Anolis sagrei: one gene and its partners. The protein of the gene in region 2 purifies or fractionates together with the protein of the main gene of each other region. This does not show direct contact. Links are inferred from orthologs where the notes say so. Each region holds a gene or a part of one and is shown on either strand. Other genes may lie near its edges.

Region 1 (7,449 bases), on a different chromosome or scaffold from region 2:
AAGGAGAGAAGAAAGGAGGTATTAGGGAAAGCAACTGAAAGAAGGAAGGAAAAGAAAGAGGGAGAAAGTATGAAAGGGGGAAGGAAAAAGAAAAAGTCAAGAAAAAGGATGAGAAAGGAAAGGAAGGAAGAAAAAGGAGGTATGAAAGAAAGCTACTGAAGGAAGGGGAGTGGAAAGAAAGAGAAATAAGACATGAGAAAGGAAGGAAGGAAGGAGAGGGAGGGAGGAAGGAAAGAAGGAAGGGAACCAACTGAATGAAGGGAAAGAGAGAGGGAGAAGGAGTATGAAGGAAAGGGAGAAGGAAAGGAAGAGAAAGAAGGCATGAGAAAAGAAGGAAGGAAGGAAGGAAGGAAGGAAGGAAGGAGAGGGAGGAATGAGGGAAAGCAAATGAAGGAAGGAAGGGAAAGAGAGGGAGAAGAAGTATGAAGGAAAGAGAGAAGGAAAGAAAGAGAAAGAAGACATGAGAAAAGAAGGAAGGAAGGAAGGAGGGAAGGAAGGGGAGGAAAGAGGGAAAGCAACTGAAGGAAGGGAAAGAGGGAGGAGAAGAAGTATGAAAGAGAGAAGGAAAGAAGGAGAAAGAAGACATGAGAAAAGAAGGAGGGAGGGAGGAAGAAGAGGGAAGGCTGAGGGAAAGCAACTGAAGGAAAGAATGGAAAGAGAGGGAGAAGAAGTATGAAGGAAAGAGAGAAGGAAAGAAAGAGAAAGAAGACATGAGAAAAGACGGAAGGAAGGAAGGAAGGAAGGAAGGAAGGAAGGAAGGAAGGAGAGGGAGGAATGAGGGAAAGCAACTAAAGGAAGGGAAAGAGAGGGAGAAGGAGTATGAAGGAAAGAGAGAAGGAAAGAAAGAGAAAGAAGACACGAGAAAAGAAGGATGGAGGGAAGGAGGGAGAGAAGGAAGGAAGGAAGGAGAGGGAAGAATGAGGAAAAGCAACTGAAGGAATGGAAAGAGAGGGAGAAGGAGTATGAAGGAAAGAGAGAAGGAAAGAAAGAGAAAGAAGACACGAGAAAAGAAGAAAGGAAGGAAGGAAGTAGAGGGAAGAATGAGGGAAAGCAACTGAAGGAAGGAAGGGAAAGAGAGAGGGAGAAGGAGTATGAAGGAAAGAGAGAAAGAAAGAAGGAGAAAGAAGACATGAGAAAAGAAGGAAGGAAGGAAGAGAGAGGAATGAGGAAAAGCAAATGAAGGAAAGATGGGAAAGAGAGAGTGAGTATGAGGTATGAAGGAAAGAGAGAAGGAAAAGAAGGAAGGAGGGAAGGAAGAAGACGGAGGAATGAGGGAAAGCAACTGAAGGAAGGAAGGCAAGGAGGGAGAAGAAGTATGAAGGAAAGAGAGAAAGAAGACATGAGAAAAGAAGGAGGGAGGGAAGGAGAGGGAGGAATGAGGGAAAGCAACTGAAGGAAGGGAAAGGGAGGGAGAAGAAGTATGAAGGAAAGAGAGAAGGAAAGAAAGAGAAAGAAGTCATGAGAAAAGAAGGAAGGAAGGAAGGAAGGAAGGAGAGGGAGGAATGAGGGAAAGCAACTGAAGAAAAGGTGGGGAAAAGAGAGAGGGAGAAGAAGTATGAAGGAAAGAGGGAAGGAAAGAAGGAGAAAGAAGACATGAGAAAAGAAGGAGGGAGGGAGGGAAGGAAGGAGAGGGAGGATTGAGGGAAAGCAACTGAAGGAAGGAAGGACAAGAGAGAGGGAGAAGGAGTATGAAGGAAAGGGAGAGGGAAGAAAGAGAGAGAAGACTTGAGAAAAGAAGGAAGGAAGGAGAGGGAGAAGAAGTATGAAGGAAAGAGAGAAGGAAAGAAAGAGAAAGAAGACATGAGAAAAGAAGGAGGGAGGGAGGAAAGAAGGAAGGAAGGAAGGCGAGGGAAGAATGAGGGAAAGCAACTGAAGGAAGGAAGGGAAAGAGAGAGAAGTATGAAGGAAAGAGAGAAGGAAAGAAAGAGAAAGAAGACATAAGAAGGAAGGCAGGAGGGAGAGGGAGGAATGAGGGAAAGCAACTGAAGGAAGGAAGGGAAGAGAGGGAGAAGAAGTATCAAGGAAAGGGAGAAGGAAAGAAAGAGAAAGAAGACATGAGAAAAAGGAAGGAATGACGGAAGGAAGGAGAGGGAGGAATGAGGGAAAGCAACTGAAGGAAGTAAGGGAAAGAGAGGGAGAAGAAGTATGAAGGAAAGAAAGAGAAAGAAGACATGAGAAAAAGGAAGGAAGGGAGGGAGGGAGGGGAGGGAGGAATGAGGGAAAGCAACTGAAGGAAGGAAGGGAAAGAGGGAGGGAGAAGTATGAAGGAAAGGGAGAAGGAAAGGAGAAAGAAGACATGAGAAAAGAAGGAGGGAGGGAAGGAGGGAGGGAGGGAGGAAAGAAGGAAGGAAGGAAGGAGAGGGAGGAATGAGGGAAAGCAACTGAAGGAAGGCAGGGAAAGAGAGAGGGCGAAGGAGTATGAAGGAAAGAGAGAAGGAAAGAAGGAGAAAGAAGACATGGGAAAAGAAGGAAGGAAGAAGGAAAGATGAAGGAAAGAGAGAAGGAAGGAAAGAAAGAGCTTCAAAGAAAAAGCAAACCCAGGCAATGCACACTTTAGTATACACCAACAACATCCCTTCCACCTCAGGACACCATTCATTGAGGTGGAGTTGTCCTTCCTCCATTCCTGAAGGCCTCCTTTTCCCTCAGGCCCGCCTCAAGTAACAAAAGTGTTATTTCCCTTCCACAAACCTTACTTTGGAAACTTTAAGGCACTGACTCACCTGTGTTTCTCTCCTCTGGCTCCACTATATCCTGCTCATATGTATCATAAACTTTAGGGCCAAACAATGAGAAGAAAAAAGACCCAACAACTCTCCTCCTTCTCCCTCAACAAAGATTTCCCCTTTCCCCCCTGCGAATGGAATGGGCCCGCCCTCTGCTCCCGCTTCGCAAAGGCTCGGGCTGTACCACTCCTGACGGAAAAGAGGGGGGAACACAAGAGGAAAATTTCCACTCACAGCTTCACCACATTCTGGACCACCGCCGCCATCTTGCCCGCCTCAACTGCGCCTGCGCGAACCGCCCGCTCGGGCTCTCATGAGGGATGCTCGCGCACGGCACGGCGCATGCGCTCCGTGGCTGCGCATGACCCTTCGCTGTTCCCAGCTCATGCTGTTCAATCCCGAGAACGGGGTGTAGTTTGTGTGCGCATGCGTTGAATGATCTCATTTTTTTTTACGCCACAGGAGGCTTCGACGGATGCCCTGAGCGACCAAAAAAAAGACAAGACTGCGTTTCGCTATGAATGCGGTTGGCTGTGGAATCTTAAGAGGAGAGGTTGCAGTGCCAGGAGCCAAGATGGCGCCTGGAGAGTGACACTCGGGGTCTGCGCATGCGTGAGCCCCAGTTTGGCCAGGAAGAGGGTCAAAAGGTCTTATTTACTACAGAGAAAGGTGGTGGTTGTGGTTGAGAGGAGAAAAGGTAAGGAGAGAGAGGGGCAGAATGTATTGTCGAAGGCTTTCATGGCCGGAATCACTGGGTTATTGTAGGTTTTTCCGGGCTATAAGGCCATGTTCTAGAGGCATTTTCTCCTGACATTTCGCCTGCATCTATAGCAAGCATCCTCAGAGGTAATGAGGTCTGTTGGAAGTAGGAAAAATGGGTTTATATATCTGTGGAATGACCAGGGTGGGACAAAGGACTCTTGTCTGCTGGGGCTAGGTGTGAATGTTGCAATTGGCCAGCTTGATTAGCATTCAATGGCTTGGAAGTGCCTGGGGGGAATCTTTTGTTGAGAGTGATTTTCTGTGCCTGTTTGTTTCCCCTCTGTTGTTTTGCTATTGTAATTTTAGAGTTTTTTTTAATACTGGTAGCCAGATTTTGTTCATTTTCATGGTCTCTTCCTTTCTGTTGAAATTGTCCTCATGCTTGTGGATTTCAATGGCTTCTCTGTATGATGGAAAGAGAGAAGGAAAGAAGGAGAAAGAAGACATGAGAAAAGGAGGGAGGGAGGAATGAGGGAAAGCAACTAAAGGAAAGATGGGAAAATAAAGAGGAACAGCTTTCATGTGATATTTTAGGAAAAGCTTGAAAACTTGGCTGTTCCACCTTGCTTTTGAGGAATGAACAATAATGCCATGCCTGTCCCAGTGTATACTCGTCCCCTTGATGCACTTCCTAGCAAGTAATTGGTCAGTCGTAAGGCCGAACAGGGAATAGGGTTACAGCCTGTGTTAGACGGGGTTACACTCCCCCTGAAAAAGCAGGTTCGCAGCTTGGGAGTGATCCTGGACTCATCGCTGAGCCTGGAACCCCAGGTCTCAGCGGTGGCCGGGAGAGCTTTTGCACAATTAAAACTTGTGCACCAGTTGCGCCCGTTCCTTGGGAAGTCTGATCTGGCCACAGTGGTCCACGCTCTTGTTACATCCCGAATAGACTACTGCAACGCGCTCTACGTGGGGTTGCCCTTGAAGACGGTTCGGAAACTTCAACTGGTCCAGCGAGCGGCAGCCAGGCTGCTCACTGGGGCGACATACAGAGAGCACACCACCCCTCTGCTGTGTCAGCTCCACTGGCTGCCGGTTCAGTTCCGAGCCCAATTCAAGGTGCTGGTCTTGACCTACAAAACCCTGTACGGGTCCGGTCCAGCGTATCTGTCCGAACGTATCTCCCTCTACGTCCCACCACGGAATTTAAGATCATCTGAGGGGGCCCTGCTCTCGACTCCACCGCTTTCCCAAGCAAGGCTGGTGGGGACGAGGAGCAGGGCCTTCTCAGTGGTGGCCCCCCACCTGTGGAACTCACTCCCAGTGGATATCAGGGCATCGACATCACTCCTGTCCTTTAGGAGAAAGGCAAAGACGTGGTTGTGGGACCAGGCCTTCGGGCAATCTGCTAACTAGATAGGACAACCAGGCAATTAGGACCGGCAGGACTGATATATGTGGACTGATAAATGTGGAAGAAAACTCTGAACCATGAGATAGCGAACACTGACTGCCAAGAAGGAAGAAGCGGTTTGTATCGGTTTGTATGAAATTTTATTGGTTTTATTGGTTTTAACGGGTTTAGATGCAATGTGTTGTTGTTGTTGTTGTTTGCTAATTTGTTATTTTGTTTTATTGCTTATTATTGATGTATGCTATGGGCATCAAATTGTGCCTTGGATGTGTAAGCCGCCCTGAGTCCCCTTCGGGGTGAGAAGGGCGGGGTAAAAGTAAACCAAATAAATAAATAAATAAATAAATAAACTCCAATGACATTGAACATCGAGAAAACCCAAGTGGTCTTCCAGCAGTCACCAGCCAATCCCTCTCCAATGCCAGGAATACAGCGTAACGGTGTAACGTTAGTAAATGTGGACCATTTCTGCTCTCTTGGCAGCCACCTCTCCACCAAGCAGTGCTTCTTATAAGTCAGAGTACAGTCCAGAGTAACTCCCAGGTATTTGGGTGTACTGCAGTGCTCCAGAGAGATTCCTTTCCAGGAAATCCTCAGAGCTTGAAACCTTTGATTGTGGGAGTTGAGGTCCAAAAAACCTGGAGGGATGAAGTTTGCCCATGCCTGATGTAAATGAATTATATTTTACCTTCCTTTTGCAGCTTCCTGTTCCATCTTCAGAGGCAACATGGCCAGCAATCTGGACATCTTCGTGGGGAACACTACTCTCATCGATGAGGAGGTCTACCAGCTCTGGCTGGATGGCTATTCAGGTGCGACAGGTGTCTCAGGTGTCTTTCTTTGTTTTGGGGCTATTTATTTATCGTGTCATCAGCAACTATACCATTATATTACAATTCTAACAGAACAAAACAAACACACAGATTAAAAAGAAAAGAAAAAAAAACACAGATTTTGCAAACTTGGTAGTTGGTTAAATGTCCTTTGACCAGTATCTGGCCACTTGGAGTGCCTCTGGGGTTGCCGCAAGAAGGTCCTCCATGGTGCATGTGGCAGGGCTCAAGGTGCCAGGTGGTCAGTGGTTTGCTCTTCTCCACACTCGCATGCCGAGGATTCCACCCTATAGCCCCATTTCTTAAGATTGGCTCTGCATCTCTGCAACTCTTATTATTTTCAGTAATAAATGGGTTACCTCCTGCTGTAAACATATGAGAATAGAGCATAAAGCCTTGATTGAATGATACCCACCAAACTGACCAAGGCTTAACCTTTGTTATCCAGCCTGGTGTCCTTGCCCTTAGCAAAACTATAAGTTACTATCTCTGGGGAGAGGGTGGGGGGGGGGGTCACGTTCGACTTCAGTTGTAAGAAGGTCCTCCATTGTCAGAGGTGGCCCTAGGTAATTTTCAATGGTAAGCAAACAGTATTCCCCCCCCCCCCCCAACCAATCACTGATATATATTTTCCTTTCATCGTGGGAGTTCTGTGTGCCATATTTGGTTCAATTCCATCATTGGTGGAGTTCAGAATGCTCTTTGATTGTAGGTGAACTATACATCCCAGTAACAACACATATGTCAAGGTCTATTTTCCCCCAAGAGCGCCCCTGTGCAAAATCAACTATGCCGCAAATGCTTACTTTGTGTAATGGGTTGAGCCGCCCCTGTCCATTGTGCATGTAGCGGGGCTCAGACTGCATTGGAGTAAGTGGTGTGTGGTTTGCACTTCTCCGCACTCGCATGCCGTGGATTCCACTTTGTGGCCCCATTTCTGAAGGTTGGCTCTGCATCTCGTGGTGCCAGAGCACAGTCTGTTCAGAGCCTTCCAAGTCGCCCACTCTTCTGAGTGCCCAGGGGGGAGTCGTTCATCTGGTATCACCCATGGATTGAGGTGCTGGGTTTGGGTCTGCCACTTTTGGACTCTCGCTTGCTGGGGTGTTCCAGCAAGTGTCTCTGTAGATCTAAGAAAACTATGTCTTGATTTAAGTCATTGACGTGCTGGCTGATACCCAAACAAGGGATGAGCTGGAGATGTCTCTGCCTTGGTCCTTTCACTATTGGCTGCTACTTCCCGGCGGATGTCAGGTGGTGCAATACCGGCTAAGCTGTGTAATTTCTCCAGTGGTGTAGGGCGCAGACACCCTGTGATAATGCGGCATGTCTCATTAAGAGCCACATCCACTGTTTTAGTGTGGTGAGATGTGTTCCACACTGGGCATGCGTACTCAGCAGCAGAGTAGCATAGTGCAAGGGCAGAGTTTTGGGGCTAAACCTGATCTCTCAATGTGGCCATATATTGCTTGGGAATTGCAGTCCAGCCCACCTTGAAGGCGCAAGGTCAAACAAGACTCATTGTGAAGCAAGATTTGCCTTAAAATACTCTTGGCTTTGGATTCCTGTATACACACACATACATACATATATATGTATATTTGTGTGTGTGTGATTTGATTGTATACTGTGTGTGTATATATATCTATATAAATAAAAATGTAATGTTCGTTTGTGGGATTCACAGAACTCAAAAACCACTGGACGAATTGACACCAAATTTGGACACAAGACACCTAACAACCCCATGTATGTCCTTCACTCAAAAAAAATGGTT
Region 2 (7,452 bases):
AGGTCCAAATTTGACTGACAGATCCAGATAGAGTGGACTCACTGAAGTTATGAGATCTACACGTATGTTGACTCACTACTGAAAAAAAAAAAGAATCCACGCGCCTAATTTGATTGGGACAATTACCAGGGCTCATACTGCCTCAACCTCTCATTTTGTAGCTTCTGTCACCCCATCTTCCAACTTTAAGATCATGTTACTGAAACACTAGTATAAGGTATTTTTAAAGACACATCTGAAAAGAAATCTGTAACTGGCCTTCCCCAACTTGGTGTATTATACTACATTTTCCGTCATCCTATTCCAATATAGTTGGGCAATGGGAGTTGTAGTCCCCCACCCCTAGAGGAGAAAAAGCGCTTCTTACTTGTGATTACGATTCTGCACGGACTGCTGCTGCACTTGTTGGATCTGCTGAGGGGCTGGCCTCTTGCGAGACTGGTCCATCCCTGACTGAGCCATCCCTGGTCGGACTGAAGGGCTCCCGCCATACCCCGGAGGCCCCATTGCAGGTCCCTGGGGGTTCATGCGGCTGCCAGGCAGCATCCCGGGACGCTGGGAAAGGAGGAAAAACAGCCCTGTGATTACCAGTGTTCAGTCAGGAAAAGCACTGGTTACTCAACAGCAAAACACCTTGGGTTCATCTACAGTGTAGAACTCATGCAGTTTGACATCACTTTTAACTGCCATGGCGCCATACTATGGGATCTTGGGAGTTGTAATTTTAAAGGGTCCTTTGCCTTCTCTGCCAAAGAGTGATGATGTCTCATCAAACTAAAACTCCCACAACTCCAAAGTATGGAACCAAAGTGGTGCTAAACTGCATTCATTCTTCTGCAATAGTTTTATCCTTAGTTGCAAAGAACATTTATTACAACTGGTTTATACAAGAAGCTGGCTCACAGTCCTTTCTGGAATATCTAAATCTGTTCCTATAGGTTATTTTCTCCCTCCTTTCCAAAAATGTAACATTTCCCAGAAAGTTCTCTTTTCTCTTAGGCTGGAATGCTTAAGGGGATGAGGGGGAAAAGGAAAGGGCCTGGGCTGGTTAGGAATTGCAGAAGTTGAAGTCCAAAACACCTGGAAGGGTTCAAGTTTGCCCATGCCTAGAGACTCACTATACAAGGTGCGTGCTTTTGGACAGAGTGGGGAGGGGATTGTAGCCCTTTGCACAGAGTCAGAGATCCCACCCCCCCAGACAGCTTTCAAGCCCTCAGGACTGATTTCTCTCTTCACTCCCCCCCCCCCCCACCCCAAATAAGCAGCACCAATGACAGGCCCTCTCAGTCTATGCTAGGTCTCTTCAAACTGTGGCCCTCCAGTTATTTGGGCTTTCAGGTCCCAGAAGCCCATGCCAGCTTGTTCAATGGTCAGGAATTCTGGGAGACGGAGGCCCAAACAGCTGGAGGTTGAGAGTGTTTGGCCTATGCCCAGCCATTGCATGCTGTTCCTCCATGTAAAGAAAAGTCATTACCTTCCCAACAGTTAAGCATCCAGCCATGCAACTCTTACTTGACATGCAAAGTAATGAAAAAATACTTATCATTTAGCCTTACTAACTGCATAAGCCAGCCTTTAGCTTCAATATCTTTTCAGCACCTCTGGGTCCAGAAACCTGAACCCTCGCCCATTATTATTGTATGACTATGGAGCAGAACAGACAACTCCGCATCTGTATGCTTGGTCCACTATGCCTTGCCTCACGTACAAAGGAAGAACTGTTGGAGGCTACAGACAATGCCATTGCTGTTGCCCGTTTTTGGTCAAAAGATACTTAGCCGCCTGCACTCCTTCTATTTTTATTAGTTTATACTAATTCAAGCAATGCTTTTGATACAAAATAAATAAATAGTACTAAATCATAGAATCCTAGCATCATACAGTTGGCCATCTGTCAGGGGTGCTTTATACAATTTTCCTGCTTCTTGGTAGGGGGTTGGACTAGATGGCCCATGAGGTCTCTTCCAACACTAGGATTCTATGGATTTGCAAGGGCCCTCCACTTCAACCCCATTTTTCCATGCAGGAGCACACAATCAAAGCTCTCCCGACAGATAGTCTGCTTAAAAACCTCCGGAGAAGGAACCTTAATAATAATATTTATTTATTTATATCCTGCTTTTTCTCTCATAAAGAGACTCAAAGCGCCCTCCCCCACAGGCTAAAAAACAACACAATAAACAACATAAACTTGAAAGAAAATTAAATGTAGAATGGTTTAAAATAGATAAATTCAAATCCTAATAAAATACCCCAGCTCACTAGCAAGGACATAACTATAATTTTATGCCTCTGATTTCATGCTGAGACATTGTTCTCCTTTTGTTTCCTTGTTAAAAAAGGAAAACACACTCAGGCGGAGGGAGATGCTACAAAGGCAGTGAAATCGAAGAGAGGCAAGCCACAAAAGGCCCTCTGGCCCAGCCCCGCCCTGCCTCCCCTCCCCCTCTCCCTCCCCCCTTGAAGCCCCGTGTCCCTTGGATCCCCCGCCATTCCCCCTTTCGAGGGCGTCATGCTCACCCCGGAGTCTCTCCCCACTCGCCCTTGCAGCCTCACCCCCATATTGCCCTCTCTTTCAAGAGAGCCTACTATCCCCCAAATCCCCCCTGAAAGGATGGCGCCCTCTTCTCCGCCTCCATCTTTCTGGAATGGCTCCCCTCCTCCCTCTCCCTCCCTCTAGGCCTGCCAGGCCCCGCCCACTGCAGTGCGGCTCCCTCCGCCGACGTCATCGCCCGCCAAGCCCCGCCCCCTCCTGGCCCCGCCCCTTCTCGCCTCCTCTCTTTCCCCTCCCAAGCCCGGCCGGGTCGGTACCGGGTAGGCGGCGCCGGGCAACGGCGAGCGGTACATCCCTTGCCCCGGGGCCGGGCCCATCCGCACCGGAGGCCCCCCCGCGGCGCCAGGCCCTAAAGGCCCCGCTCCAGGCCCGGCTCCGCCGCCGCCACCGCTCGGAGCGACCGCCTGGAAGCCCGCCCGCGCCGCCATCTTCCCTCCCTGGGCAGTACAAAGCGCGGAGGGGAGGCGGATGTCGGCTCAGGAGATGGAGCGCCGCTGCACCATGGAGACGCCGCCCGCGGGCGGGTAGAGCGCCGCCGGCTGGGGAGAGAGAGAGGCGCAGAGGAGCGCCCCGCGGGACTCCCCCTGCTGGACGGCGGCCTGCCATTGCAGCCTGCGTCAGGAGCGCCCTTCTCTGTTCGTATGGGGAAAGGCCATTCCATGCTAATCAAGTGGCCAATTGCAACATTCACACTTGCCTCAAACAAGCCAAAAGTTGTCGAAGGCTTTCATGGCCAGAATCACTGAGTTGTTGTAGGTTTTTTCGGGCTGTATAGCCATGGTCTAGAGGCATTCTCTCCTGACGTTTCGCCTGCATCTATGGCAAGCATCCTCAGAGGTAGTGAAACCTCACTACCTCTGAGGATGCTTGCCGTAGATGCAGGCGAAACGTCAGGAGAGAATGCCTCTAGACCAGGGGTCCTCAAACTAAGGCCTGGGGGCCGGATACGGCCCTCCAAGGTCATTTATCCGGCCCTCACTCAGGATCAAACTAAGTGTGAAACGACTTGAAACCACACAACGACAACAACAACAACAACAATCCTATCTCATCAGCCAATAAGTTTATATTTGTTCAAATTGTTCTTCATTTTAATTACAGTATTGTTTTAAGTGGGTTTTTTTGCACTACAAATAAGATACATGCAGTGTGCATAGGAATTCATTCATGTTTTTTTTTTTTCCAAATTATAATCCGGCCCTCCAACAGTTTGAGGGACTGTGACCTGGCCCTCTGTTTAAAAAGTTTGAGGACCCCTGCTATAGACCATGGCCATACAACCCGAAAAAACCTACAACAACCCAAGACGAGTTCTTTCTCCCACTCGGAATGTTCCACAGATATATAAACCCCACTTGCCTAGATTCCAACACATGCCACAACTTCTGAAGATGCCAGCCATAGATGCAGACGAAACATCAGGAGAGAATGCTTCTGGAACATGGCCATACAGCCCAGAAAACTCACAGAAACCCAGGCCATTTATTGTTGTCAGCCAAAAAAGCTACTGGGCCTTGCTAAACTATAAGCTAGGTCATTCTGCAAAATATTGCCATTACCATTAAAGTGGAACAATAGCCATTTAAGAGTGGAGTGTGATAAGGCCCTTATTACTTTGGAACTGTATTATATAAGTGCAGACTCGTGTATTTTGAACTGTACTAGGCTGCATTAATATGAGCCTACACTGGCCATATGTAATGTAATAATAATAGTAATAATAATTGTATTTCCTATCTGCCTTCCCACAGCCTTCCCACAGCACAGTTAACAATTATAAAAATTCTACAAACATATTAAAATTAATTTCCATAAAAGATACAAATCAAAGCATTTCTGTAAAATACACATTAATCACACAAGATATGATATGAGTTAAATAAACCATGCGTGAAGACTAGTTTTAAACTGCATTATATGGCCTTGACTGAAAAGGACGCCCTGTTGACGTGGATGGGTCTGGTCTAAGGAGCACATTATAAGGCTTGATTCAGAGAGGATTAGGTAGCCCAATCCTAATGTAATTTCCCTTTTTGTTGTGTACTTTCAAGTTATTTCTGACTTACGTTAACCTGAATGTTAACTTATTTTAGCTGGTCTCTAGAGTCACTCAAACCACGACTCCAAGCTTTTAACTTAATTTATTTATTTTTTGTGTGTTTACTTGAAATTGAGAGCAATTTAAAACGGTCATGGATGAGACCCTGCCATGGATACTGGAACCTGAAGGCACAGATACCGGCTCTGTTAAGCAGCAGCTGGTACCAGTCGACAACCATTTCACGAGTCCGAGCGCCTGGTGAGCTAAATTGGAGATGGAGCCACCAAAGTATTTTATTCAATCAGCTGGTTGAGATCTCAACCCGCAGTATCCCACCAAAGTAAGCTGAGATACAGACATAGTAAAAGTAAGCATTTTATACAGTACAGATTCAAAATTCCCACTGCCCGCAACTGGACCCAGATTGGCTGTGATTGGCCAAACTCCGATGATGTCAGAGGAGTCTCTCTGCAGAGGTGTGACTGCGGTGTTCACTGGTCATGGGAGAACTTTCCTTGCCTCGGATATAGATGTAGTGCTCTCCAATGGCTGAAGAGGGGCTGAACGGAAACTTTACACAACAGCAACATAGTAACAAGTTGGAAAAATCGAATGGGATTAAGGTATCGCTGAGTATTTTATTGTTTTGCAAATGGTCCTGTGAATTTCTGACTTTGTGGGGTGATGACTCCGCACCAATGTCCTTTGTTGTCCAACAAAAAAATATTGCTTTGGGTGATTGGATCATTGATTCGTGCCTGGGAAAACAGAAGTGACATGTAGGAAAACAAGACAGCGAACTTCTCCCCATTGAGAACATGTCATGTCTATGTGGAGTCCCCGGTGGCACAGTGGGTTAAACCCTTGTGCCGGCAGGACTGAAGACCGACAGGTTGCAGGTTCGAATCTGGGGAGAGCGCGGATGAGCTATCAGCTCCAGTTCCTTATGCGAGGACATGAGAGAAGCCTCCCACAAGGATGGTCAAACATCAAAAACATCTGGGCATCCCCTGGGCAACGTCCTTGCAGATGGCCAATTCTCTCACACCAGAAGCAACTTGCAGTTTTTCAAGTCGCTCCTCACACAAGATCTGTCTCTCTCTCTCTCGTGGTAAATGTCTATAGAAGTCCAAGTGGCTACATAGTTTACAGATGGCCCTGCTCCAATATCTCTTGTTCCATGTAGCCTGGGTACCGTTCACAATTGCTGGGTGATTACATCCAAGGTTATCAAGTTGTAGCTCAGGGAGTGGCTTGGAGGTGTCCCTGAGCGAAGACGTGCTGGCTTGAAAGGTCACCATGGTGGCTGGTTCTCCAAGTTTTATATAATACAAAGCATAAAGAAATTAAACATATACACACAAAGGGGAATCCCAAGGACTGTGGGGGACCTGACCCACAGAGACCCACTATCCAGGGGACATAGGGACACATGCACGAGGGGCTACATGAGGTTAACAAAGGGAGTCAATCTCCCTGGGCATCCATTGGGGAAAACAGGTGAAATAATAGGAAGGAAAAGATAAACATATACATGAGGGTTCTGTGAAGGCAAAGGTATCTAGACATTAGACAAGCTGACCCCCCCCCCCAGGGAAACATATGCAAATGAACCCATGGGTGAAGAGGGAGATCATCTGAATCTCCGTATCCACAGGGGGTTGGGTTGACATAGGTGATGGGATAGGGGATTCAGTGCAAGGAAGGGGATTATGAGGTAGGTTAATTGAGAGAGGAAAGTTATATAGATCTGCGGATAAGTGAATGTCTACAATACCAGTAAAATGCAAAAAGAGGCAAAATAGGGCTTGGGAGCCTGCTGGGGCTCCCAGAGTGGTTAGGAGGTGGCAATGGTTGTTTATGAGGGGCTATTTGGAGGATGAGGCTATGAATGGGCCCTGTCCTGGGGCTCTGGGGGGTCTGGGCCATGTGGCCCGGGCCATTGTTGGCACAGCTGAAGAATGCAGAAGTGATGCTTTAAAAAAAGTTTAAACCTTAATGGGATTAGGAGGTATTCTCTGGGCGCTGGTATATGCTGCTGGATTTCTCCAGACCTTCGGATTTTTGCATAATTCATTCTGATAAAAATAAAAGCCATGTTAACCTGCGGAACACTCTGCCATGCCACCAAGTTCATATAATTTGGTGGTTGATTGGAGGGAGGGGGGGTATTTGTGCTTGACATCATACTCATGATATGAGAAGGGAGCACCCTGCTAAGATAACTTGTTCAGTTATAGATCCATGATTGCTTGCATTCAGGCACCAGCCTTCTCATGAAGGTTGTGGTTATCCATACCACTCGCTATGGTGGCTGTGTATTGCCCCCAGGATCAGAGGGAATAGGTCTCTGCTGTATCTCTCTTTCTGGGAGGCATGAAGGGAGTGCGGCATTGTGCTCTTGTCCTGATGGGTCTCTCACCTTGGCTTAGCAGGCCAATCAAACTGATCACTGCTGGGCTACATAGGCAGGCTGCTGGGCTACATAGGCTTCCCATTGTTCTTCATTGGCCCATGCCTTTCAGCCAGAAATTTTGCCTAGAATTAGGTCAACTGGTCATTACTATGGATGGTACATTTTTTTACTGATTTGGCGTGCATCTGCACTGTAGAATGAATGTGGTTTGACACCACTTTAACTGTCTTAGCTCAATGCTGTGGAGTCATGGGAGTAGTAATTTGGTAAGATACCACCCCTTTTTCACAGGGAAAGCTAAAAACCATATAAAACTACATCTCCCAAGCAGGGGCGGCTCAACCCATTATGCAAAGTAAGCATTTGCAGTATAGTTGATTTTGCCCAGGGGCGCTCTTGAGGCGCTCTTGGGGGAAAATCTTGACATATGCGGGTTGTAGT
Region 3 (6,896 bases), on a different chromosome or scaffold from region 2:
AAGTTGAATGGACTGCTAACAAGCCTTCTAGCTTTTAAAACAGAGACCATCCAGTATGAAAAGAGCAGTATAAATCTATTTGCTGGATTCCATTCATAAACACCTAGAGATGAACAAAACCTGGCTCTGTTTTATCAGACACAAAATCTTGAGCTACATGAAATTGAAGGACACCGGCTCTGTATGAGCTATTCACTTGCCCAACACAAAACAGGCTAAAATTACAAAAACACAATCAAGTTCACCAAAATAAGACTCTCTAATTACATTCATATCATGTCATCTGATCCAAAAATACCAAACGACACCATGATTGCCTATTGTCTCTCAATAACCATTTCGCTGCATTGTTTTAAGTATGCCACAATGACTTCCACAATAGAAACTACACAATAACCCCCTGCAAAAGAATGAAACGCTAAAATGCTGTAAAGGTTTAACAAAAGGGGATGATTCTACCAGGTTACAACCTTCAATTATATAATTTCAAATAAATTCAAGCAGCAATTACAACCTCTTTCTAACACTGAATTTAAATTGTACAAATCAAACAATACATACCAGCATACATTTGACTTACTGTGTGAAATAAACCTTTATAATAGATCCATCTGGTTGACCCATTCCAATTAAAATATTGGGGGATGTACATATTTTGCCCTTTATATGGCATTTAAAGGAAAAAACTATTCTTTCAAGCCTCCCTTCTGAAAAGTGTCTGAAACGGATTTAAGCTAACCCTTCACACTTGAAAGTGCACAAAGGTTTTGAAGGAAAAGATGAAACGTTTCTTTTGCAGCAAAGTAAGCCTGTCACATAAACGCCCATCCTATTTGCCATTTTTGTGCCTATTTAATATCAAATCCTTCTGATTTGAGAGAGAGAAAGAAAATAAAGATATATAGGCCACAAAGCACATTCTCCGATCTTCCACGCTTCAGACAAAAGGAAAGGGAACCAATTGGGAGTCAAATGACACTTTAGGACTGATCAGAAAGAGGCTGCACAAAGAGAAAAGCAGCCAGAACAGCAAAAGTTCACCGGAAGGTGAGGATGAGAGATGAGCCCATGAGCGGCAAGAGTCCACTCAAAAGCAGATTGAGAAGGGTTTCCCCCCCCCCCCTAAGAATATGAATATTCACAGAAATGAGGGATGTGCCCTCTGGGAAGAGTGGCCCTGAAAAAGGTGAAAAGGAAGTCAGGAGATCCTTAGATGGGACTGTAACTCAGGTACATGCTTCACCTGGAGAAGTCCCAATCAGGGGCAGATTGGGAAGGGAGAAAAGGAGTCCCCAGTTCAAAAAGATCTCACTGATCAAAGTAGGGTGGAGAGTAGTTGAACTGGAGTAATGATCCAATTCTGTATGTAAACCAGATTCATTGCTAGCTATTGGGGGGGGGGGGGGGCTAACAGGAGAAAAAGTCAGGATAGGACAGAAAAGGCTACAAGAGTTCAGACAGAGGAGAACAGAGATTTGAATACTCTGCTGGTCTGAAGAAGGGTCCAGCAGAACAAAATGGGAGAGGATGAAACCACTCCTGGGGTGCATCACAGGCTGAAGTATCTATCTATCTATCTATCTATCTATCTATCTAATAAAAGTGAAAATATGTTTGTATGTATGAATGTATGCTTGTATCTATGTGTTCAAGATGGCTCTCACATTGAGAGAGAGTCCCATGACTCCTGCCAGCGACAAATCTGGACCAAATTTGGCACGCAGACCCCCACAGGACCAAATTTCAGTCCTGACAAGTTGGGAGGGAATTGTCCTTGGATGTTGGGAGTTATAGTTCAGCCACAAACAAAAGACTCCTCTAAACCCAGCTGATGATGAATCTGGGCCAAACTTGGTACACACATCCATCATGGCAAACTTGGCCAGGTTTGGGGAATACTGGCCAGGTTTGGGGGGTGGGGACTGACCAGGACGTTAGGAGCTGTTGTATAGCCACATTTTTTGGCCTTTTCGAATAGGTCTACTTCTAAAAACCAACGCCATGCAACGACAGACAGCTTCTAATGTGGATCCTTCTGAAAGAGCAAATGCTCTTTTGAAAGAGAGTATGAAAAGAAATCTAGGGCGGGAGGGAATGAGAAGTCGGTGGGTCAGTCAGGGCTGAGCTGTGAAGGGGTCATGGGGGCAGGGAAAGCAAAGGCCTTGGGCCAATAAGAGAGGCGGCTGCGTAGGAGAATGAATGGGCAGGGTGGCGGGGGGAAGAGGCCAAAGGAGCCAAGGAGGGCACAGGACCAAGGCTAGTGCTGGGAGTGGGGTGAGGGAAACCGAACCTGGGGAGGAATGGATCCCCTAGCAGGGGAAGGGGGGGAGAAGTCTTGCCTTGGGGGTTATGGGGCAAGTCTTGGCTGTGAAGGGGGGTTGTCTGAAGAAGACTGGAGCAGATTGGGAAGGGGAGAAAGGGAGGGCAGACAAGGCCAAGGGATGTGGGGCACTAGGAAGCGACCCAGGAGGGGGCGGGGCCTGTTTGGGGGGGGGGGTAGAAGCAACTGAAGGGAAGAGCTGGAGGAGAGGCAGGCGAAGGAAGAGCGGGGGTGGAGTGGGGGAGAGAGAGAAGAGCGAGCCTATCTGCCCCAAAGGAAGCCAGCACTTGGAGGGGGGAGGGCGGGTTCTAAGGGCTGCCCCCTTCCCTTATTCTCCAAAGGAACTCCTCCCCCAAAAAGGACTACCCTGTGCCCTCTGCTCCCCTCACCATTTGCGGACTTTCTCGATGGCGGCCATCACCCGCTTGATATCATCCTTAGCGCGGCTGCGGGTTTCGGCCCGCACCGACCGGCCCGACATGCTGCTGAGGCGGCGAAGGGGGTTGGACGCGGCGCGGGGGGGGGGGGAGGCAGGCTCCGAATGGACGGCTCCCTCCCTCGCTGAGGAGGTACAAGAGGCAGCGGTAGCAGCAGCAGAGGGAGAACAAGTCCGGCCTGGCTGGTTGGCCCCCTCACGCACAATGAAGGCTCCTCCCCGCCTCAGCCCGCCTCGAGGGAAGAAGGCAGGCAGGGAGGGAGGAGCAGCACGCGGAGGCGGCACTGCGCAGGCGCCAGCGCGGAGCACGTAGCCTTCCCGAGCCCGTTGGGGGCGGGACCTGTGCGAGAGGCAGCCTTCCCGCCCATTTGGCCGCTGAGGGCATGGAGTTCCCTCAGGGTTGGCCCTCTACCTTGGGAAAGGCTCGTTGTCTGTTGACGCCTAGCCTTTCCAAAAGTGGAGAGCCAAGCCTGAGGGGACTTGAGGCGTTTAACGACCGCCTTCTAAAACACCTTCTTTTCTGCAGTCCATAAAGCACCATTTGTACAAAGGAGAAGACCAGTCCCAAAGCATCGCAAGCCCAACCACAAGTTCCCATAGGGCTGGTGTCCAAAAGGAAAGCCCGCCAGGCCCTCCATTTCTTCTTCGAAGAGACCCCAAACGCCATGCAGTCCCAATGCCATTCGCTATTTTATGTGTCACAAGCCAGTTGAGAATACTGTTACAATGTATTAAAAAATACAAGGAAAGTTAAAAGCTTGGCATTATACCAGATTTCCTCTGACCAGAAGCTGGCCACTTGGAATGCCTCTCGTGTCACTGTGAGAAGGTCCTCAATTGTGTATGTGGTTGCGATGTAATAGGTCGTCAGCAGTTTGCTCTTCTCCACACGTGCATATTGTGGACTCCACTTTGCAGCCCCATTTCTTAAGATTGGCTGTGCCTCCCGTAGCGCCAGAGCGCAGCCTGTTCTGTGTGCCCAGGAGGGAGTTTCTCATCTGGTTTCAGCCACTGATTGAGATTCTGGGTTTTAGCTTGCCATTTTTGGATTCCCGCTTGCTGAGGTGTTCCTGCAAGTATCTCTGTAGATCTTAGGAAGCTGTCTCTTGGTTTAAAGCGTTGGCGTGCTGGCTGATATCCAAACAGGATGGGCCAGAGATGCCCATGGCTGCTACTTCCCGACAGATGTCAGGTGGTGCAATACCATCTAAACGAGGGGTCCTCAAACTAAGGCCCGGGGGCCGGATGTGGCCCTCCAAGTTCATTTACCTGGCCCTCGCTCAGGGTCAACCTAAGTCTGAAATTACTTGAAAGCACACAGCAACAACAATCCCATCTCATCAGAGATAGTTTATATTTGTTAAAATTGTTCTTCATTTTAATTATTGTATTGTTTTAAAGTGTGTTTTGCACTACAAATAAGCTATGTGCAGTGTGCATAGGAATTAATTAATGTTTTTTTCCCAAATTATAATCCGGCCCTCCAACAGTTTGAGGGACTATGACCTGGCCCTCTGTTTAAAAAGTTTGAGGACCCCTGATCTAAACAGTATGATTTCTCCAGCAGTGTAGAGCGTAGACATCCTGTGATAATGTGGCATGTCCCAATAAGAGACACATCCACTTTTTTGTGTTTTTTTTCCTTTTTTTATTATATACTAGTTTGGGGACCCGGCACTGCCCGGGTAATTTGAGAAAGGAATTATGTATCAAGGTTGCTTATTTATCAGTGATTTATATGGCTCGCAGTGGTCTCAGGAAGTTAGTGAAGGTACTGCAAGTCCCATCATCTGTGGTCCTTCCTCCTCCAAACTGCACCAGAATGGAGAGTGGGTCGTGGGGGCTCTGTGTGCCAAGTTTTGTTCTTGATCAATCATTGGGTGAGGGTCACAGTGGTCTCAGAAAGTGAGTTTAGGTACTGCAAGTCCCATCAGCCATAGTCTGTTCTCCCCCAAATCTCACCAGAATGTTGAGTTGGCCATGGGGGCTCTCTCTGCCAAGTTTGGTCTTTCTTGGTATTTGGATAAGTGTCGCTGTGGTTTCAGGAAGTGAGTGAAGGTACTGCAAGTCCCATCATCCATCGTCCGCCCTCCTCCAAACAGCATCAGGATGTAGAGTGGGTCATGGGGGCTCTGTGTCCCAAGTTTGGTCTTCATCGGACATTAGATGAGGGTTGCAGCCGTCTTGGGAAGGGAGTGGAGGTACTTGAAGTCCCATCATCCATGGTCTGTCCTCGAAAGTGCACCAGGATGTAGAGTGGGTTATGCGGACTCTGTGTGCCAAGTTTGGTCTTGATCAGTCATTGGCAAGGGTCTCAGTGGTCTCAGGAAGTGAGTGAAGTGACTGCAAGTCCCATCATCCATTATCAAATTCTTCCAAACCGCACCAGGATGTAGAGTGGGTCATGCAGGCTCTCTGTGTAAATTGTGGTCCTGATCCATCATTGTTGGCAGTTGTAATGGTCTTAGGAAGGGAGTGCAGGTATTGCAAGCCCCATCGTCCATGGTGCATCCTCCTCCAAACTGCACCAGGATGTAGAGTGGGTCATGGAGACTCAGTGTGCCAAGTTTGGTCTTTATCGGTAATTGGATGAGGGTTGCAGTGGTCTCAAGAATTGAGCCAAGTTACTGCAAGTCCCATAATCCATGGTCCATTACCAGCCAAACCACACCAAGACGTAAAGTGGGTCATGAGAGGTCTATGTGCCAAGTTTGGTCCTGATCAGTCATTGGATGAGGTTAACAGCGGTCTCAGAATGTGAGTGATGGTACTGCAAGTCCCATCATCCATGGTTCATCCTCCTCCAAACTGCAGTAGGATGTAGAGTGGGTCTTGCGGGCTCTGTGTGCCAAGTTTGGTCTGTATTGGTAATTTTCTGACAGAGCCCCTGGCCTTTTCCTTTCCTCTCTTTGTCATCTCGGAATCTTGGAATTGAGGCTAGCCAATCAGAGACCATATGCAAATTTCCTTCTCTCATGTCTCCGTTTCTGCCATGAACCCTTTTCTCCACCAGGGGCTCCTGTTGGAGCTGGCCAATCAGAGACCATATGCAAATAGCACCACATTGGCGGCCAATCGGAATCTTGGAACTTTCTGGCTGGCCAATCAAAAAGCCTGCACATACACCGCCACACTTCCGCCGCATACAAACTTTGACTTTTATTATATACTAGCTTGGGGACCCGGCGCTGCCCGGGTTATTAGAGAAAGTGGGTAATGGCAGTTCTGTATGCCAAGTTTGGTCTTTATTGGTAATTGGATAATGGCTGCATTGTTTTCAGGAAGTGAGTGAAGGTACTTGAAGTGCCATCATCCATGGTCCACCCTCCTCCAAACAGCAGCAGGATATAGAGTGGGTCATGGGGGCTCTGTGTGCCAAGTTTGGTCTTTATCAGTCATTAGATGAGGGTGGTAGTGCTTTCACTAAGTGAGTGAAGGTAATGCAAGTCCCATCATCCAAAGTCCATCCTCCTTCAAACTGCAGCAGGATGTAGAGTGGGTCATGGGGGATCTGTGTGCTAAGTTTGGTCTTGATCAGTCATTGGATTAGGGTCGTAGTGGTTTCAGTAAGTGAGTAAACGTACTGCAAGTCCCATAATCCAAGGTCAACCCTCCTCCAAAACTGCAGCAGGATGTAGAGTGGGTCATGGGGGCTCTGTGTGCCAAGTTTAGTCTAGATTGGTCATTAGATGAGGGTTGAGCAATCTTGGGAAGGGAGTGGGGGTACTTGAAGTCCCATCATCCATGGTCTGTCCTCCAAACTGCACCAAGATGTAGAGTGGGTCATGGGGGCTCTGTGTGCTAAGTTTGGTCTTGATCAGTCATTGGATGAGGGTAGCAGTGGTTTCAGTAAGTGAGTAAACGTACTGCAAGTCCCATAATCCATGGTCAACCCTCCTCTAAAACTGCAGCAGGATGTAGAGTGGGTCATGGGGGCTCTGTGTGCCAAGTTTGGTCTAGATTGGTCATTAGATGAGGGTTGCAGCAATCTTGGGAAGGGAGTGGAGGTACTTGAAGTCCCATCATCCATGGTCTGTCCTCCTCGAAAGTGCACCAGGATGTAGAGTGGGTCATGGGGACTCTGTGTGCCAAGTTTGGTCTTGATCAGTCATTGGCGAGGGTCTCAGTGGTCTCAGGAAG
Region 4 (7,682 bases), on a different chromosome or scaffold from region 2:
AATATTCAATACTGATGTTGTACTATGCTAATAATACACTATAATATATTGTATGTATATATATATCTTGTAAGCCACTCTGAGTCCCCTTCAGGGTGAGAAGGGCAGCATATAAATGTTGTAAATAAATACATTTTGGAATTACGGCACACAGAATCCCCCAGATAGCTAACTGTGTATAGATTATGTGTACAGATATTCATTTCGTCTCAAAAGCATTGCATAAATTATTGTTGAAGGCTTTCATGGCCGGAATCACTGGGTTGTTGTAGGTTTTTTCGGGCTATATGGCCATGTTCCAGAGGCATTCTCTCCTGACGTTTCACCTGCATCTATGGCAAGCATCCTCAAAGGTTTTTTTTTTTTTTTTTGGTCGTGTCAGTAGCAACTTGACAAACTGCAAGTCACTTCTGGTGTGAGAGAATTGGCCGTCTGCAAGGACGTTGCCCAGGGGACGCCCGGATGATTTGATGTTTTATCATCCTTGTGGGAGGCGTCTGTCATGTCCCTGCATGAGGAGCTGGAGCTGATAGAGGGAGCTCATCCGCCCCTCCCCGGATTCGAACCTGCGACCTGTCGGTCTTCAGTCCTGCCGGGACAGGGGTTTAACCCACTGCGCCACTGGGGGCTCCTCAGAGGTAGCTCCAACAGACAAGAGTTGTTTGTCCTACCCTGGTCATTCCACAGATATATAAACCCTTTCCCTAGTTCGAACAGACCTCACTACCTCTGAGGATGCTTGCCATAGATGCAGGCGAAACGTCAGGAGAGAATGCCTCTAGAACATGGCCATACAGCCCGAAAAAACCTACAACAACCCATTGCATAAATTAGTATAAAACTGATAAAAATAGGTGTGCAGGTGGCTAAGTATCTTTTGACCAAAAACGGGCAACAGCAACGGCATTGTCTGTAGCCTCCAACAATTCCTCCTCTGTACATGAGGCAGGGCATAGTGGACGAGCCTACAGATGCGGAGTTGTCTGTACATGAGGCAGGGCACAATGAACAAGCACACAAATGCAGAGTTGTCTGTTCTGTTCCATGGTCACACTGTGTGTACAGATAGATAGATCTAGATAGAAGTGTACTCGGCCACACTGTTGGCTCACGTTTCCTCGCTTTCCCTCTCTCGGAATAGGATGGCCACGGTCTCAAAGGACGGGACGTGGAAGCTGTGGGACACGGACGTGGAGTACAAGAAGCAGCAGGACCCTTACCTCCTCCTGACGGGGAAATGCACAGCAGAGGCTCCCTGCCGCATCGCCCTCTCGCCGGACGCCCGGGCCGTGGCCATCTCCAGCCGCACCAACATCGCGCTCTACAACACCCGGCAGGGCGAGGAGGAGGAGCGCTTCGAGGGCGTCCACGGGGAGCACATCACGGACTTGGCCTTCGACGTGAGCGGCCGCTTCCTGGCCTCGGCTGGGGACCGGGCCATCCGGGTCTTCCACAACACTGTGGGCTACAAGGCGGTGATCCAGGAGATGGCCACCCTGATGAAGAAGGCCACCAACGAGTCCACCAAGGAGAGACTGCGGCAGCAAGTGGCCAGCGCCCAGAGAGCCCTGGACAGCATCTATGGCAAGCGCAACTGAGCTTTTCAGTCGCGCATTGGGAGAGCTAATAAATACAAAAATAGTATTTTTTTGCACAATTTTCCACCATGTTGGGTTTCTTTGGATCATGAGTCAACAAAAAAGCCAATGCAATCCTAAGCTGCCTCCATAGGAGTCTATTGTCCGGCTCAAGGGGAAATCATATAGGATAGGGGTCTCTCAAGCAAGGTCATTGGTGCGGCTTCCAATCTAAACTTTAGCTCGAGGGTCACCCTAAGTCTCCAGTGGCATCGACATCTGTGATAATGCGGCGTGTCTCATTAAGAGCCACATCCACTGTTGTAATGTGGGGAGATGTATTCCACACTTGGCATGCATATCCAGCAGCAGAGTAGCAAAGCGCAAGTGCAGGTGTCTTCACTGTGTCTGGTTGTGATCCCCAGGTTGTGCCAGTCCGCTTCCGTATGATGTTATTTCTAGCACCCACCTTTTACTTGATAGCAAAGCAGTGCTTCTCGTAAGTCAGAGCACAGTCTGGCATATCTCCCAGGTATTTGGGTGTGCTGCAATGCTCCAGTGGGATTCCTTCCCAGGTAATAATCCTGAGATGCTTGTCTGTTCAGACGATGAAAACCACACGTCTGCATTTTAATGGATTAGAAATCAGTTGGTTTTCCCAGTAATAGACAGCAAGAGCACCAAAGCTTTGAAGAGCTTCCGTTCAACCATTTCAAAGCTTCGTACTTGGGCAGTGATGGCACGATCGTCAGCATAGATAATTTCCTCAGAACTCGAGATGCTTGTCTGTTCTGAAAGTGAAAAGCAAACGTCTGCATTTTAGATGGGTTGGGAATCAGATCATTTCCCCTCTCAATAGGTCGTAAGAGCACCTAACACTTTGGAGAGCTTCTGTTCGACCATTTCAAGACACCCGGCTTGGGCGATGATGGCATGATCGTCAACATAGATTAGTTTAGATCAGGTGGTGCAATATATTATATTATTAGCACAATATCAGCATTATACATTCCCATATTGTACTATACCACTATACTGTAATATTATTAGTAATACTACATGTAATATAAAATATATAAATCTTGTATTATTATTAGTATTATATTGTATTACATTATAATATAATTATTAATACAAGTGTATACATTATATTATTAGTACAGCACAATATTAGTATTATATATTATTATATTGTACTATTCCACTATATTGTAATATTATTAGTAATATTACATATTATATAAAATATATAATTCTTATATTGTTTTATTATTAGTAATATTACATGTAACATAAAATATATAATCCTTCTTTGTATTATTATTATTATTAGTACAATATATAATACTGATATTGTGCTAGCCTTATAATATAATTTAATATAATATATTGTATAAAGGATTATACAATATTATTAGTATTGTATTGTATTACATTATAATATAATTATCAATATTATATGTGTATACAATATATTAATAGCACAGTACAATATTAATATTATATATTACAATATTGTATTATTCCTCCATACTCTAATATTACATGTAATATAAAATATATAATCCTTATATTGTATTATTATTATTAGTATTACATATTGCATTATAATATAATTATCAATATTATACGTGTATACAATATATTGCTTAGGCGATCCCTCGTTGGACGAGTAAGATGGTCTTCCTTGATGACTATTTTTGTGGGTTTGTAGGTGGCTGCGGAGCCCTCTTCTTGACCCGCATCTTCTCCCACAGTGAAGGCATTGGTTTCCAGGTGGAAGGCGGATCCAGTCGGGTTTGGCTTGACGCGCCTTCCTCCTGGCACATTTCTCTCTTTCACCCTCTACTCATGCCTCCTCGAATTCTGCAGCACTGCTGGTCACAGCTGCCCTCCAGCTGGAGCGGTCAAGGGCCAGGGCTTCCCAGTTCTCAGTGTCCATGCCAGAGTTTTTAAGGTTGGCTTTGAGCCCATCTTTCAATCTCTTTTCCTGTCCACCAACATTGAGTTCGGAATAGAGCAACTGCTTTGGGAGACGGTGGTCAGGCATCCGGACAATGTGGCCGGTCCAGCAGAGTTGATGGTGGAGGACCATCGCTTCAGTGCTGGTAGTCTTTGCTTCTTCCAGCCCGCTGACGTTTGTCCGCTTGTCTTCCCAAGAGGTTTGCAGGATTTTCCAGAAGCAGCGCTGAAGGAATCGTTCCAGGAGTTGCATGTGATGTCTGTAGACAATCCACGTCTCGCAGGCATAGAGCAGGCTTGGGAGGGGAATAGCTTTATAGACAAGCACCTTGGTCTCCCTACGGATGTCCCTGTCCTCCAACACTCTCTACTTCATTCGGAAGAATGCTGCACTCGCAGAGCTCAGACGGTGTTGTATTTCGGTGTCGATGTTGACTTTGGTGGAGAGGTGGCTGCCAAGGGAGCGGAAAGGGTCAACATTTTCTAATGTTACAACATTAAGCTGTATCTCTGGCATTGGGGAGGGGATGGCTGGTGTCTGCTGGAACAGCACTTTGGTTTTCTCGATGTTCAGTGACAGGCCAAGCTTTGTGTATGCTTCTGCGAAGGTGTTTAGAGTGGCTTGTAGGTCTTCTTCTGAATGCGCACAGACGACATTGTCATCAGCATACTGGAGTTCTATAACAGCAGTTGTTGTAACCTTGGTTTTGGCTTTCAGTCTGCTGAGGTTGAATAGTTCTCCAAAGTTGTTTAGAGTGGCTTGTAGGTCTTCTTCTGAATGCGCACAGACGACATTGTCATCAGCATACTGGAGTTCTATAACGCCAATATATTAATATAATATTTTATATTATACCCTAATATAATATTATATATTAATATAGAAATCTATATAAATCAGTATAATATACTCAAAAACCTAATGCATGTAAATCTTTTTAGAAAAAAAAATCATGAAAATATGCAAATGATTGCAAATAGTCCCAAGCATGTCATTGAAAAGAGACACATCCCTTCTTTCCAGCTTGCAGACTTTGGCGCATGCGCACTCTCCGCCGGCTCCGCCACTCTTCCCTCCTCCGCCTCCCAGTGGGCGGGGCGAAGGCGATGACGCGTTACGCAGGGCGGTGTGGGCGGGGCGTCCTGCGCGCGCATGCGCACTCCCTCCTCCGAGAACGGCGGCGGCGAGAGTCGTCGCCGGGTCCAAGCGGGCGCCATGTCGGGCCGGTCGGTGCGGGCCGAGACCCGGAGCCGCGCCAAGGATGACATCAAGAAAGTCATGGCCGCCATCGAGCGCGTCCGCAAGTGGTGAGGAGGGGACGGGGAAGGGGAGAGGAGGGAGGGGGCTCGAGGAAGGAGCGCGCCGGCCTTTCAGCCAATCGCCGGCAGAGGCCGAGTGAGTGACAGCGCGACAGCCAATCAGCGTGATGCGTGGAAGCCCTTTTCAGAAAGTCACCGAGCGAGCCACGCGATTGGTGACAACGGCGGCCAATCAGCGACGTGACAGAAAGGAACCCTGGATTGACGTTTATGTAGCCCAATAGGATTTGAGGAGCTCGGGTTGCCATGGGGGCAAGGGTGGGCCTTTGGTTCCAGGCCTAAGCTGGCAGATTTGCATATTCTCAGTTTATTTGCATAGTTGATTTACATACTGTCATTCATTCAAAGGGAAGGCTGGCCATTGCCTTGACTGGCCTATAGAGAGATAGAAATATATATATATATATATATATTATATGATTATACAATATAATAATAATGCAATATTATAATTATATATTTTATATTACATGTAATATTACTAATAATATTACAATATAATGGTATAGTGCAATAGAATTCTAGAATCCTAGAGTTGGAAGAGACCTCACGGGCCATCCAGTCCAACCCCATTCTGCCAAGAAGCAGGAATATTGCATTCAAATCACCCCTGACAGATGGCCATCCAGCCTCTGCTTAAAAGCTTCCAAAGAAGGAGCCTCCACCACACTCCGGTGCAGAGAGTTCCACTGCTGAACGGCTCTCACAGTCAGGAAGTTCTTCCTAATGTTCAGATGGAATCTCCTCTCTTGTAGTTTGAAGCCATTGTTCCATTGCGTCCTAGTCTCCAAGGAAGCAGAAAACAAGCTTGCTCCCTCCTCCTCCCTGTGGCTTCCTCTCACATATTTATACATGGCTATCATATCTCCTCTCAGCCTTCTCTTCTTCAGGCTAAACATGCCCAGCTCCTTAAGCCGCTCCTCATAGGACTTGTTCTCCAGACCCTTGATCATTTTAGTCGCCCTCCTCTGGACACATTCCAGCTTGTCAATATCTCTCTTGAATTGTGGTGCCCAGAATTGGACACAATATTCCAGATGTGGTCTAACCAAAGCGGAATAGAGCATGGGGAGCATGACTTCCTTAGATCTAGACACTATGCTCCTCTTGATGCAGGCCAAAATCCCATTGGCTTTTTTTGCCGCCACATCACATCCCTGGCTCATGTTCACCTTCCTCCCCACGAGGACTCCAAGATCTTTTTCACACGTACTGCTCTCGAGCCAGGCCTCATCGTCCCCCATTCTGTATCTTTGCATTTTGTTTTTCCTGCCAAAGTGGAGTATCTTGCATTTGCCACTGTTGAACTTCATTGTGTTAGTTTTGACCAATCATCTCTCTAATCTGTCAAGATCATTTTGAATCCTGCTCCTGTCCTCTGGAGTATTGGCTCTCCCTCCCAATTTGGTGTCGTCTGCAAACTTGGTGATCAATATAGTAATATATAATACTGATATTGTGCTATGCTAATATAATATAATGTAAATAAATTGTACGAAATATAATTTTTCTAATATTATAATGTAATGCAATATAATACTAATAATAATGTGATAGTATAGTTATATATTTCTATTACATGTAATATGACTAATAATGTTACAATATAATGGTATAGTACAATATAGTGATATATAATACTGATGTTGTGCTATGCTAATAATATAATGTAATGTACTATATTGTATAAACATAATATTTATAATATTATAATGTAATGCAATATAATTCTAATAATAATACTCTGATATTATAATTATACATTTTATATTACATGTAATATTACTAATAATATTACAATATAATGGTATAGTACAATATAGTAATATTTAATACTGATATTGTGCTCTCCTAATAATATAATGTAATGTACTATATTGTATAAACATAATATTTATAATATTATAATGTAATGCAGTATAATTCTAATAATAATGCAATATTATAATTATATATTTATATTACATGTAATATTACTAATAATATTACAATATAATGGTATAGTGCAATATAGTAATATTTAATACTGATATTGTACTATGCTAATAATATAGTATATTATATGTTTATGTGTGTGTGTGTGTATATATATATATATATTGTAAGCCACTCTGAGTTCCCTTTGGGGTGGGAAGGGCGGCATATAAATGCTGTGTGTGTGTGTGTGTGTGTGTGTGTGTGTGTGTATATATATATATATATATATATATATATAAATTATTCTTTTCCAGGGAGAAGAAGTGGGTGACAGTGGGAGACACCTCCTTGCGGATATTCAAGTGGGTCCCTGTGACGGACAGCAAAGAGGTAAGTACATGTTTCAAAAGACAACATTGATGCCTTTGGCAGGAGACACATCCATCCAGTCATTCTAACCCCCTTCTGTCGGTCAAGAAGGCATCGTCAAAGCCCTCCCAACAGATGCTCATCCAGCCTACCAAGAAATGTCTTGGGATATGCTATATTATTTTTATACATATTATATAGACCTTATTTATTATATCAATATTATCTAGTACTATATAATACTAATATTGTGCTATGCAAATAATATAATTTATTTATTTATTTAGTATATTTGTATACACTTCTCAGCCAATCGGCGACTCTCTCCCTTTGGGGTGAGAAAGGTCAGCATTTAAATGTAGTAAATAAATACGCCAAGAAAACAAGCCATATCGAGCTGGAAGGGACTCCCCAAAGGCCTTCCATCACAACCCCCTTTTGCCAGAAATACACAGTCAAAGCCCTCCCAGCAGATGCTCATCCAACCTCTGCTGGTAGCCCAACTCATGGCCTTCCTTCTCTTCTCGCTTTCAAGAA

The links.
Region 1: the proteins of SMARCD1 (region 2) and DPF2 purify together in Homo sapiens (affinity purification with mass spectrometry; 9 studies listed by BioGRID and IntAct, counting the BioPlex papers as one, with this or other methods). This does not show direct contact. The link is inferred for Anolis sagrei from reciprocal best matches to the Homo sapiens genes SMARCD1 and DPF2.
Region 3: the proteins of SMARCD1 (region 2) and BCL7A purify together in Homo sapiens (affinity purification with mass spectrometry; 5 studies listed by BioGRID and IntAct, counting the BioPlex papers as one, with this or other methods). This does not show direct contact. The link is inferred for Anolis sagrei from reciprocal best matches to the Homo sapiens genes SMARCD1 and BCL7A.
Region 4: the proteins of SMARCD1 (region 2) and BCL7B purify together in Homo sapiens (affinity purification with mass spectrometry; 4 studies listed by BioGRID and IntAct, counting the BioPlex papers as one, with this or other methods). This does not show direct contact. The link is inferred for Anolis sagrei from reciprocal best matches to the Homo sapiens genes SMARCD1 and BCL7B.

Annotation. Positions count from the first base shown.
Region 1 is NC_090032.1:10,258,460-10,265,908, forward strand, and holds the start of DPF2 (zinc finger protein ubi-d4), read right to left. Parts: upstream 3,021-7,449; 5' UTR 2,993-3,020; coding exon 2,961-2,992; intron 2,948-2,960; exon of another isoform or gene 2,724-2,947; intron 1-2,723. Other genes in the region: FIBP (acidic fibroblast growth factor intracellular-binding protein), read left to right, coding at 3,162-3,423, 5,544-5,654. UniProt on the Homo sapiens protein: Plays an active role in transcriptional regulation by binding modified histones H3 and H4. Is a negative regulator of myeloid differentiation of hematopoietic progenitor cells. Might also have a role in the development and maturation of lymphoid cells.
Region 2 is NC_090022.1:140,190,564-140,198,015, reverse strand, and holds the start of SMARCD1 (SWI/SNF-related matrix-associated actin-dependent regulator of chromatin subfamily D member 1), read right to left. Parts: upstream 3,008-7,452; 5' UTR 2,983-3,007; coding exon 2,812-2,982; intron 2,677-2,811; exon of another isoform or gene 2,563-2,676; coding exon of another isoform or gene 2,521-2,562; intron 556-2,520; coding exon 368-555; intron 1-367. UniProt on the Homo sapiens protein: Involved in transcriptional activation and repression of select genes by chromatin remodeling (alteration of DNA-nucleosome topology).
Region 3 is NC_090034.1:32,155,493-32,162,388, forward strand, and holds the start of BCL7A (B-cell CLL/lymphoma 7 protein family member A), read right to left. Parts: upstream 3,014-6,896; 5' UTR 2,802-3,013; coding exon 2,710-2,801; intron 1-2,709.
Region 4 is NC_090031.1:33,200,482-33,208,163, reverse strand, and holds the start of BCL7B (B-cell CLL/lymphoma 7 protein family member B), read left to right. Parts: upstream 1-4,679; 5' UTR 4,680-4,692; coding exon 4,693-4,847; intron 4,848-7,090; coding exon 7,091-7,166; intron 7,167-7,680; coding exon 7,681-7,682. Other genes in the region: TBL2 (transducin beta-like protein 2), read left to right, coding at 1,142-1,598. UniProt on the Homo sapiens protein: Positive regulator of apoptosis. Plays a role in the Wnt signaling pathway, negatively regulating the expression of Wnt signaling components CTNNB1 and HMGA1.